Linked DNA regions of Caenorhabditis elegans. The protein of the gene in region 2 purifies or fractionates together with the protein of the main gene of each other region. This does not show direct contact. Each region holds a gene or a part of one and is shown on either strand. Other genes may lie near its edges. The genes, in order: csr-1 and emb-4.

Evidence for each region.
Region 1: the proteins of emb-4 (region 2) and csr-1 purify together in Caenorhabditis elegans (affinity purification with western blotting, with the first as the bait; one study listed by BioGRID). This does not show direct contact.

Annotation. Positions count from the first base shown.
Region 1 is NC_003282.8:7,955,630-7,962,952, reverse strand, and holds csr-1 (Piwi domain-containing protein), read right to left. Parts: upstream 5,687-7,323; 5' UTR 5,618-5,686; intron 5,380-5,617; 5' UTR 5,374-5,379; coding exon 4,899-5,373; intron 4,355-4,898; coding exon 4,195-4,354; intron 4,154-4,194; coding exon 4,000-4,153; intron 3,957-3,999; coding exon 3,745-3,956; intron 3,701-3,744; coding exon 3,549-3,700; intron 3,502-3,548; coding exon 3,116-3,501; intron 3,071-3,115; coding exon 2,349-3,070; intron 2,305-2,348; coding exon 2,205-2,304; intron 2,161-2,204; coding exon 1,804-2,160; intron 1,754-1,803; coding exon 1,565-1,753; intron 1,522-1,564; coding exon 1,433-1,521; intron 1,387-1,432; coding exon 1,290-1,386; 3' UTR 796-1,289; downstream 1-795. Other genes in the region: Homeobox protein ceh-19, read left to right, coding at 7,148-7,323.
Region 2 is NC_003283.11:18,891,739-18,896,732, forward strand, and holds the start of emb-4 (Intron-binding protein aquarius), read right to left. Parts: upstream 3,237-4,994; 5' UTR 3,231-3,236; coding exon 3,162-3,230; intron 3,093-3,161; coding exon 2,758-3,092; intron 2,020-2,757; coding exon 1,712-2,019; intron 936-1,711; coding exon 687-935; intron 1-686. Other genes in the region: nhr-243 (Nuclear Hormone Receptor family), read right to left, coding at 3,579-3,677, 3,740-4,010, 4,827-4,994.

The DNA.
Region 1 (7,323 bases), on a different chromosome or scaffold from region 2:
ATGGATCAGCAAAAAGAGCTCATTATCAGAAAAAGGAGAAGATGAAGCTCTCTTTCTCACTCTCTCTCTCTCCCTTTTTTTTCTTTGCTCATTCGAACTCAACATAGTTGTATTCTGAGCATCTGACGGCGAAAATATCATTAACGTTCAGAAAATAGCAGCTTTGTTTCAGAAAGGCGAGGGAGAAATGAGAAATCGAAACTGTGGCATAAAGCTCGAAATTTTTATGAAGAGGGTTTTCAGGGAGCAGAAATTCAAAATGGAATTTACAATTATCAATCCGAAAGTTATTTATCAATTTCCCCGCAAGAAACAATTTCCTTTTTTAAATAGATATCGTGTTAATGTACTATTTATATAATGGGTTTCAAACCAGCAAGAATCTATGGTCTTTCGGAATTCTGAAATTCTCACAAATTTATTCATGAGAAGCTGAGAAGAGAAGGGCACATCTTCTGAATTTCTCTTTTTATTCCACATTCGGTGCGTCATTTCATTCGGTAGACGAGCTGTTGTATTTCAGATAGATGAAGCTCTTTCAGTGGCTGCACACAAATAACTAATTATCATGTGTCATTAATAAAACCAGATGAATGCCACGTGAAAACTCATGAATTCCTGAGTTTCGCAGTTGTATACCCCCCAGGAGTCAACGAAAAATGTGTCATGAAAACATTTTATGGATCATGTTTTATGAGCAACAAATTCATTTTCTTGAGCCTTCACCAAAAAATTAGATTACGCAGGCCGTATGGCAGGGGTAAATGTTTCACACGAATCAAAAGATCTTTTGCATACACTGTTTCAACTTTTCATCGTTGAATAAAATCTGCCACAAAAATTCATGCAAAGATAAAAATAAAAACAACATTATTCAACACGACATTTATATAATGAAGTTATACTAACCAGTGGAACAAGGTAAAGGTAGGATATTCTTTCCACAATTTCATATGAAAAGAAATCTTCCAGTGAACATATGTGAGAAGACCGATTGTTCAACATATCACCAGAAATGATAATTATATTTGAATGGAAAGAAGAGCAAGTTGTGTTGTATTCAAGAGAAATACTGGCTGCGCTTCTCTATATTCAAAAACAAACGAAGAATGGGAGGAGCTTGAGAAGAGAGGGTGGAGGCAAGAAAAAGGGAAAAAATAAGATGAGACTTTAAGGGAGGAAAATTTAACAGTTAAAATATTACGAGCGGAGGAATTTATCTATTGAACTAAGTCTCAGGATATTCGAGACATGAGGAATGTAGGAACAACAGGGAAAGAGTTGCACGCCTAAACAACTCGAACTTTTGAAAGTCGATCGAGAGTGCTATAGGAGAGTTGAGTGGTGAGCGTTTCCCAATCATCAAAGAGTTCGCCATTCTTGAACCTGAAAAAATTAAAATTTTAAGTTGCATTGAATAATCACATTATACCTATAAGCTTTGTAAAGCCCGGTTCCTCTCTTGGCGAGCTCATGAGCAACGTAAACTGGAGTTGGGATGGATGTTGGACTGTTAACAAGCTAAAATTTTCCTTTGTGTTAGAAAGAAATCAGTTGTCTGTACCTGATGAAGACTGCATACGGCGCAAACCATTTTGGCAACATGTTCGTCCGAAACTTCCTCATCATCTCGAATAACCAAGAATGATGGAACCTTTGCAGTACCTTGCACTGGCCGGAAAGCTTGGATGAAGATTTGTCTTTTTCCATATTCGGCAATATCACCACCAACAGATGTATCGGGAAGCGGATTCTGAAAAATAAGACGTACAATTTTAACAGATTATTGTTTTAAGAACTTACGATCGGCATGTTCCCGTGATGTCCTCCCTTGGCGTAGAATCGAGTGTGGTGACGTTTTTTAACAACAATGGCTAATACTTTTGGAGCATAATCAGAATGGCCCATGGACTTAGCGGCTGTCTTAATGGTTTGCTCAATGATTTCCACCTCCTTCAGAGCCGCAGTCTCTTCACCGAATGAAACACCATCACGGAAGATGATTACTTTCTTTGGGAAACCTCGAATTTCGGCAAAGTTTCGAACGCTTTGGTCAGTGAATTTTCGCAAAATTTCATCCTGGATCGCCTCTCTTCTAGGATCGGTGTATAAGAAGTCTCCAATGAACGAGTATGGGTTTTCAGCAGAATTGCAGGACAGCTATAAAATAAATTTGTAGCGACACGGCTATGTTGATAACTTACTCCGACGGTGGATGGATTTCCTTCTCTCGCAGCGTTTCGGTCAGGATGAGCAACGTCCATTCCAATTACGAAGGTAGAAACTTCATTCCAGCACGCAAGACTGTAAAAATTAATTTAATAATGTATGATGTGCGCCCAACTAACTCTCTTGGAATATCTGCTGTGTAGTTAAGTCCACCGCATTTAATGTTGGCTTTCATCACAATATTGTCAAGAGTCAAATCATATGCTCTTCTTCCACCTTGAGACTTCTTTTCGATGTTGTCACGCATCTTTTTGACATTTTTGAGAAGTACGTGCTGCGTTGGAATGTCACTCATACGCTCTTCGAATTTGAGGCACTCATGAATGTTAGGAACGTCATCGGAAATAAACAAGACGAACGGAGTGAAAGACGAATCCCGGTAGTTTGGATGAGTCACCAAGTTTTTGAAGACCGAAGTAAGGAAATTTTCGCTGCCTCGTTCGCCATTGTGCTGATCCATGCTATAACTGCCAATGTGCATTCCTTTGTCCTTGCAACGCTGCATGAATGCTTTCGCGACAAATTTGGTTGCATCGCAATCAGCATCCCAAGTTCGAGTATAACCTGCTACTAGAACGAACATCAAATGGTCAATCGTAGCAGGTGTAACAAACTTTTTGTCTTGTGCTTTCCAGTCACGCTTCTCATCATCCACGTGTACCGGGTCTGCATATGCAACACTAGGCGCGAGGACTCTTTCACCGTCGATCTCACTGACGTTGTTGAAAGGATCATTGCAGATTTGGACACCAAAATCTTTCATGACTTGATCGTTGAAACCAAATTGATCGTAGTGTTTTTGAAGAGTTGACCAGCGTTCGTTCGGGGCATTCGCTCGTGGCTGTAAGTTGAATTAAGATGACATATATGAAAAATTTAAACTTACTGTAAGCTCAAACTCTTCGAGTACACGGCGGTCAATGGATTGATAAGGAAGAACCTTCAAATATTCGAGCGGCATGAGGCGCTTGTGTGGTCCAGTGCCGCATTGAACTGCAGGAAGCATTGGGAATTTCAGATTTGGATACTTTTGTCTGAATTCTGGATCTTTCGGCGCGTTGTAGTCAACATCCGACACTGTGATAGTGTTCGTAGCCCAAATCTGTTTGTCATCGTAATATGGGTTGCATTTTAAATCCTTCAACAATAGTTTCACGGCTCTTTGCAGTTTCATATTTGGATTAACGATACGGTTTGGCGGAAAATCACGAGGAAATGCGTACTGCAACATCTGACTGAGTGGGATTGAAGCATAGTACTGAGTCGATTGAGCTGCAAATATATAAAATTGCAAAGGTATGAACGCGAATGAAACTAACGATCGAGTTCTAGAATTGGAAGAGGTCCGTTTGCTCCGACGATTCGGCATCCTTTGTGGATTCCTTTTGCTGCAACAGCCCATTTCACGCGAAGCTCCTCCAAGCTTTGAGTGTGGACATAGAGACCTTTCGACTGCGACAAATATCTTTCGCTGAAGATACATTTGGAAAGCAATAAGTAAGAAATTAATAATACCTTCTAATGGCACTCTGTGATGTCACAATATCCAAATAAGCGTAGAATCTTGGATCACTCCATTCGTTAAGCTCCGTCTGAACGAATGACGGTTTCTCGAGATCCGGTTCACAAGAGATCTCCAAATCGCCGCTGAGGAACGAGATGGAATCCTTCAGAAAATTGGAAAGTTCCGGGATTTCGAGAGCATCTTCTTTCTTGATATCGACCATCTATAAACCCAAATACAAGAAAGAAAAAAAAATGAAATCATACCAAGCTGATTCCCTCCAAAGTGAATAAAGACTGTGCACCGTCGTACGCGAATGCAGGAAGATTCTGCTGACCCTTCTTCGCGGCCCACTGTTTGAGTAGGATGTCAAGAAGAATAAAGTTATCTTTTTGCTTTGTTGCACGGTTTCCACGTCCTCTGAAATAAAAGTGTAAATTTTAAACGAACAGTACACTCACCTGGCACTCATTGTTGTAAGAATATACTCCTTATTGTGCTGACGATCGATGAGCTTCATTTGCACAACATGCCGGAAAATCGTTCGCTCAGAGAGCTCAAGCCCGAAGATGTTCAGGGCAAGTCTTGGATTTTGCTTCTGATTCATGTCAGAGTTAAGTCCTGAAAAAAGTATAGTTCAAATTATTATTTAAAAAATAAAAGCAATGATATCAAAATTCAAAATAAGAACGGGAAAGAAACGATCAACTAAACGCAGAGAAAGGCCTAAATTTCAAGTTTTTGGGAATGCGAAAATTCTAGAAGATTGTGATCACACCTGACGCGAAGTCGCACACTTTTCATCTACCGTATCCATGTGAGAGAGCGCGCACCACCCTTTGTTCAATGTTTTGATCAGATGAAACAATTTTTAAATATGCTAAAAAAAGAAAATATGTTGATTTCGTTAGCTTTTATTGATTTCATAACTATTCAGTCTTCTATTTTATCAAATTACTGATTTCTCAAAATTGTTTGTTATGTGCCTCCGCATTGGTATTTCTTTGTTGGTGGGAAGATTTTTTTTAAATCTCGAAAAACAATTTCCCGCCCGAGATCGAAATTATTTCGGTTCGTTCCCCGAAAAATCACAGGTGCGAGATCAAAAATTAATTTAAAAATCAGTCGCTATTTAAATACAAAATAATACTCAAATAATACTCACCTTTAAGCTTTGGCTCTGCTGAATTTTCCAAGATCAATCCATTATATTTAGGATCCACGGTAGTGGTTTGGGTCGATCCACCTCTGCCGCTCCCGCCAGTTCTCCCGCGATAGTTTCCGCCATTTGCTCCCCGATTGTACCCTCCAAAACGATTTTCTGCTTTTGATTCTTCATCATCACGTCTTCTGTCGTAACCTCCTCGTCCACCTCTGAATGATCCGCGGTTGCCTCTCGATCCTTCCTGACCATCTCGATGCGAGCCACGATAACTTCCAGTTGGCGTCTTCTCATAGTTGAAATCATGACGGTCTCCTCCTTCATACTTTACCTTGCCTTGATACGTTACATGGGTTTCTCTCGTTTCTAAATCCGGACGATACGAGTCTCCGTATCCTCCACGTCCTCTACCACGTCCACTACCTCCACGAGAACCACCACGGCTTCCACGGCCACGACCGACATTATCCGACTGCATTCTAACCTGAAAATATTGATAAATTAATCAAGAAATGTAATATTATTATTTTTGTGAAATTTTGAGGATGACAGTTGTTTATTATCCGCAAATTTTGAGGTACACAAATATCGAAAGCTGATTTCAATTGATTGAGAGAAAAAAGAAGGATTTTCGAAAAAAGAAAAAAACTTTTGAAGACCTATTTATTCAGATTTGGAAAACAGTTAAGTCAAATTTAAAACCTTAAAAGCATCACACAAACCTTCAAAGTATAAGAACTCTAACAATTCTTGCGAAAAACAGGAAAGTCTCGCTTCAATTTTGGAGCTAAAACGATAGAATAAACTAAACTTGAAACCTGACAAAACACCACGTATGCTGACCTTGAAAAACGTGGCTTTTTGGCCGTTTACCGTGACAAAGGTCAACACTTTTTTAATATATTTTACGCGTGGTGAAAGTTATCACAATTATTACTGGAGCACTAAATCCTGAGAATGAGTACTGTAGCAATAAATACTGTAGCATACAATTTTTAAACTAAAATTGAATCAAGGCTAAAAATAATTTTGAAAACAGAATTTCCAAAATATGTTTTTAAAGGATATTCTTACCGAACACTCGAAAATATGAATACAATGAAAATAAAAATTCAAATCTTATTCATGAAATTATCAGAGAAAGAGGAAAATAAATAAAAGCTCTTTGTTCCCATAAACATTGGAAAACCAATAAAAATGGGGTGAAATGGCATGATCACGTCTGCAATAAAGATGATTCATAACTGTTTATGCATCAAAAAAAAATGTTTGATTTTGGAAAATGTATCTAGTTATTTGGAACTAGGACGATAACCGTAATCAGAGATACAAAAGTTTGAACATTCATACCGATAATTAGTGATTAGCGGTATTTTGAAAAATGTAGATAATTCAACTAGAACAATGCACTATTTAAATTTGTATCAAGAAAGTTTCTAGTTCTTGAATTAAAGACAAAAATTCAAAATAAAAAATCTGCTTACACAATTGATTTGATAAAATTTTGTTAACAGCAAACATGTAGACAATAAAATATTTTGTCTGTTAAAATGTGTTTTTGATTTATGAGTTGGAGTCCCGTTAACGTAATCATTTCATGTAAAAATACAGTTCATTACTATATTAATAAAAGTAAAAAGTTTTAGACTTGTTTAAATTTGCGAAAACCTTCAACTGTCCGTTCCCAAAAATAATCCACAGTTTCATAATTCTCCTGGAGAATGCCTTGTGTGCTCAAAAATATTCATATTTCTATGAAAAAAGTGATAACAAAGAACCGAAAATTCAAAATCTCACGATAAACGATAACAAATCGTGGAAAAAACACTATTATTTTGACAATTTTCCAATATTTTCAATGCTCACTTTCCCATTTGTTAATTACTTTTTTTGGGGTTACTGTAGCCGAGCTATATAGCTGAATTTTCTTAGGAAGGTTTTCTCTGATTTTCTCAAAAGAATCTAATTTCAATTCCATTAATAATCTCAATTACCTTGCCTCAACAAAAATACTCAAATTTCAGTGTTTGTCATAGAATGATTACAAGCATGGGCGGTTGAAGAAAGAGTGTATTGGTGGAGAGAGACTCAGAGCTCACCTGTCGCATAACTTTCCCACGGGTTCCTAATATAAATCAAAACCTGAAGCCGAAAAGGCTCTCATTCTCAATCTAATTCCTAATCGTCATATATATTGGCAACTTCTCAACTCTACATTTTCTTAAAGTCTTTTAAATAAAAACTATTGAAAAATGGCTTTCAATATTGAAAGTTTACTGGAGAAAAAATCTAATCCAGTTGAAGAAGGTAATGATTTTGAGGAAGAAAACGACAGCGAAAAAAACGGTGAAGAAGACGAAGAGGAAGAAGAAAAAAATGTAATTGATGGTTGGACAAATATGGCAACAAGCCAATTGGCAATGTTTGC
Region 2 (4,994 bases):
AATTTCACGTTAAATGTACCTAAATCGAGTTGTATACACAAAATTAAACGGTGATTTCAAAAATGTTAGTTTCCAGCCGCTGCGAAAAGCCGATACAATTTCAAATTTTAACTAATTTTTGGCCATTTTTTGAGCCGTCATAACTTTTTTTGAGAAGTTTTCAAAAAAGTTTCATTATGAAATTCGGTGTTATCAGACGATTTTGAGTCTAATAAAGCAATAAAAACAAATTTCGACAACTCAAAATTTGAAATTTAATGTGAAAATATAGAAAATCATTAGATTTATTTGAAAATAAAATACATTTCAGTCGAAAAATTTAATAAAGTGCTCAAAAATGGCCTTCTGAGCACTTTATCAATTGTGTTTCGACTGAAATAAATTCAATTTTCAGAAAAATCAAGTACCTAATTTTCTATATTTTTATACTAGTTTTCAATAAAAAAAATGGTGGCAAAACATGATATTTTGAAGAAATCCGCATAAAAATCGTCAAAAACCCGAAAATTGACGTGTTTCTACAGTAAAAAGGCTACGAAATTCACTGTAGAAACGCCAATTTTCGGGGTTTGACGATTTTTATGCGGATTTCTTCAAAATGTCATGTTGTACCATGTTTTTTTTAAACCATTTTAGCGCCCGTTTTTTCTCAAAAATTCTCAATTTTCAGCCGCCAATTCCCGCACCTGAAAGATCATCAATCTCAAATCTAGCGTAAAATTTGAGGAGTTGAACCAATTGGAAGAACAGCGAACCAGCGTCAGTGGAAATCAACGAAGAAAGCAGGCAATGTGTGAGAATATGTGATGAATGAAGTACTGAATTGAAGAATCGTCTCGTTTGAAGAATTGATTCTAAATCAATCAATAATTCGATGAATCTCTCGCAATATTTGATCGAATCAATTGGATCACGTACTTCTCCTTCTTCGGATTCTGCAAAAATTGTGGATTTTCAATGAAAAAGACCAATTTTTTTAGAAAAAATCGCGCGAAAATCGAATTCTACAACACATTTTCCGGGACTTTTTTTAGTTCAAAAATCACAAAATTTGAATTTTGGCGCTGAACTCTTAGCTGGAATTTGATACAATTTAGGGAAAAATTAATTGGAGAAACTGCTGATTTCTCGAAAAAATAGAATTTTTATTGCAAAATTTCTGAAAATTACTCGAAATTTGCCCGAAAAATGGGCTAAAAATGCTGAAAATACCATAAAAAATGTAAAAATTTGAGAAATTACTCAAAATTAGATGCTAAAAGCTAAAAACATCGGAAAAATCAGTGAAAATCCGCTGAAAATGTGTAAATTACGATGAAATTTGGTTTTGGGCGCTGCTTAGACTACAAACTACAAATTTTGGGCGCTGCTTAGACTACAAACTACAAGTTTTGGGCGCTGCTAATTCAATTTTGGGCGCTGCTTAGACTACAAACTACAAGTTTTGGGCGCTGCTAATTTAATTTTGGGCGCTGCTTAGACTACAAACTACAATATTTTGGGCGCTGCTGTGAATTTTTCACGTTTTTTCGTCATTTTCAAGAGATTTTAATGAGGTTTTCATTGAAAAATCGAAAAAAAATTACGGTTTTCGGATAAAAAACTAATATTTTCTTTAATTTTTCGCATTTCTCTTCAAAAAAACGGAATTTCCGGCGTTTTTCACCGATTTTCTCCGTTTTTTCCGGAAAATTTAGCATTTTCCACGTACCCTGAGCCTCATTTGGCTCCAAACTGTTCAAAACTCGTTTAAATTTCTCGATTAAATTCCACAAATAAGTCCGTTCGAACTCGTTGTTGTCCGCCGCCGCCGCCGTCATTTTCTGCCGCACATTTTCCCAAATTTTCTTCAATTTCTTCTGTTTTTTGAACAAATCTTCGCGTTGTGAGTCCAAAAGACCGGCCCAAATCTCAATTGAGACGAGTTTTCGTGTCTCTTTGTGCACAATTGGTGTCTCAACGGAGCCAAATGCGTTGACAAGGAATGTCAGAAGAGCACAGTGTTCTGAGGAGGCGAGTCTGCAAAATTTCGAAGGATTTTTTGGTGAAAATTGGGGAGAAATTTAGTGGAAAATCGCATTTTTCGCGTTTAAATAGTGGTGATTTTCAGTGGTTTTTTGCTTTTTTCGCGAAAAAAAACAAGAAAATTGCTCGAAATTAGGTGCAAAATGAGCGAAAATGCCGAAAAATTGCTATGAAATTCGCAAAATGCAGCTAAAAATGAGCAAAAAGCGATGAAATTGGTTTTTTGGGCGCTGCTAAGACTACAAACTACAAGTTTTGGGCGCTGCTAATTCAATTTTGGGCGCTGCTTAGACTACAAACTACAAGATTTTGGGCGCTGCTAATTCAATTTTGGGCGCTGCTAGACTACAAACTACAAGTTTTGGGCGCTGCTAACGACATTTTGGGCGCTGCTAGACTACAAACTACAAGTTTTGGGCGCTGCTAAGACTACAAACTACAAGTTTCGGGCGCTGCTTAGACTACAAACTACAAGTTTTGGGCGCTGCTAGACTACAAACTACAAGTTTTGGGCCCTGCTAATTCAATTTTGGGCGCTGCTTAGACTACAAACTACAAGTTTTGGGCGCTGCTAAGACTACAAACTACAAGTTTTGGGCGCTGCTAATTCAATTTTGGGCGCCGCTTAGACTACAAACTACAAGATTTGGGCGCTGCTAATTCAATTTTCGAGCTAATTTCGAGTTTTCTGAGCTTTTTCGCCATTTTTCCGCTAAAATCTCGAATAATCACCCTTCTTCCTGCAACGAAAGCTGCAAAATGCTCTTAAAAAAGTGCGGAAAGTGCTCGGATTTCTTCGTGAAACAGTTCCACGAATCCAAATTTCGTTCTCGAAATTTCTCATTAATCATCACAACAATCGACATATTCCAGGCCTTTGAGGCTTTTTCTGGAACGTAATTCGGCCATAAATAGGCCTCCAAGTACTGCGAAAACTCGAGCATCATGATTTTTCGCGAATTAAACGAGGTTTTCAGCATTTCATTGTCGTAAATTGTGTCGATGAGCTTTGCGTCGAAATTTTCGTGAGTTTCTGCTGTGAATGGAGCCCAGAACTTGGCGGCGACCTGAAAAATTGGGAAATTTTAGGAGGAAATTTGATTTTTGTAAGTTTTCTAAGGTTTTTTTGCACCCACCGCTGAAATTGTGTCATTTTCGATGGCTCCCCGAGTCACCACGGCTTCTTGATGACGTTTAGTCACCATTTACACCTGAAAAACAGTTTTTGCCGAAAATCGCAAGATTTTAGCGATGAAACTGGTGAATTTGGGAGAAAATATCAAGAAATATTAAATTTTCGAGTTTTTTAATGCAAAATTCACTAAAAAACCTCGAAAATTCATTGAAAAACAACGGAAAATCAGAAAAAATAACTGAAAATAAAAATAAATTTCGAAAAATCCGGAAGCGCGCCTTGGACTTTTGCTGGCGCACTTTGCGTGCTTGGCGCATTTCTCGATTTTTTTAATTTATTTTTTGTCATTTTTCATCGAAAAACCTGCAAAAACCTCAAAAAATCACGATTTAAAGTTAATTTATTCAATAAAAATCAATTATAAATCCTCAAAATACTCATAATGAGAAAATCGCATCGTGTGAACGTCGAAAACCTTGGCCAATTGGAGTTTTGAGCGGATTTGGAGCACTTCTTCCTGCAAAAATGTGTTAAATTTTATTAATTTATCAATATTTAGAGTGAAAAAGCTAAGAAAACCTTAATTTTCCGGATAATTCTCAAAATCTGCGCCAGGCGAACTGAATATCTCGGCGTTTCCTTCACATTAACATAGTAATCATGCAGATTATTCGCCAATTTTTCCATAATTTTCTCGCAATTTTCTTGAATTTCGCCTCGAAATCGGCGTCCCGCGTGTCCGAGCACCAAATGAGCCAGCATATAGGACAGCTCCACGTCATCTGGGTTCAAATTCATCATTTCTTGGGCAAATTTGTAGGTTATGTGGTTTTCTGACGTGTCGTAGAAGCTGAAAATTGGTGAAATTCTGCTGAAAATGCGCTGGGCGCTGCTAAGACTACAAACTACAAGTTTTGGGCGCTGCTAATTCAATTTTGGGCGCTGCTTAGACTACAAACTACAAATTTTGGGCGCTGCTAATTCAATTTTGGGCGCTGCTTAGACTACAAACTACAAGTTTTGGGCGCTGCTAATTCAATTTTGGGCGCTGCTTAGACTACAAACTACAAGTTTTTGGGCGTTGCTAATTCAATTTTGGGCGCTGCTTAGACTACAAACTACAAGTTTTGGGCGCTGCTAATTCAATTTTGGGCGCTGCTTAGACTACAAACTACAAATTTTTGGGCGTTGCTAATTCAATTTTGGGCGCTGCTTAGACTACAAACTACAAGTTTTGGGCGCTGCTAATTCAATTTTGGGCGCTGCTTAGACTACAAACTACAAATTTTTGGAATTTTGAAGCAATTCCAATAGAGTTTTTAATGGAAAAAATGCCAGAAAACTGAGAAAATTAATAATTTTCGCGGAAATTTTCGCGGAAAAGAAAATCGAATTGGAGATGGTTTTGACTACAAACTACAGCATTTTGGCGCTGTTTAAGCCTAAAATGCACACTTTCGCAGGATTTTGTCACAAAAATTTCGAGTTTTCGGGTGATTCTGAGGGGGTTTTAAGCGTATTTCCGAAATTTTCCGCTACAAAAACTACTATTTGGTTTGATCTACGAGAATTGCGGGGTGTTTAGAGATAGAGTTTGCTGACGTCATATTTTTCTGGGAGTGAAAATTTTTCCCGCATTTTTTGTTGATCAACCCTAAGTACTTACAATTGCATTTGCTGATTGGTTAATCGTGAGCACCACGTCAAATCCAACTCCATATTCTTCATATCCATCATTGAATACTCATTTTTATGCGAAAACATTACACAATCACCGCAGCACATCTTCATCCGTCGCCCCATCGCTGTAATTGCCAACTTATCCAGACGAGAC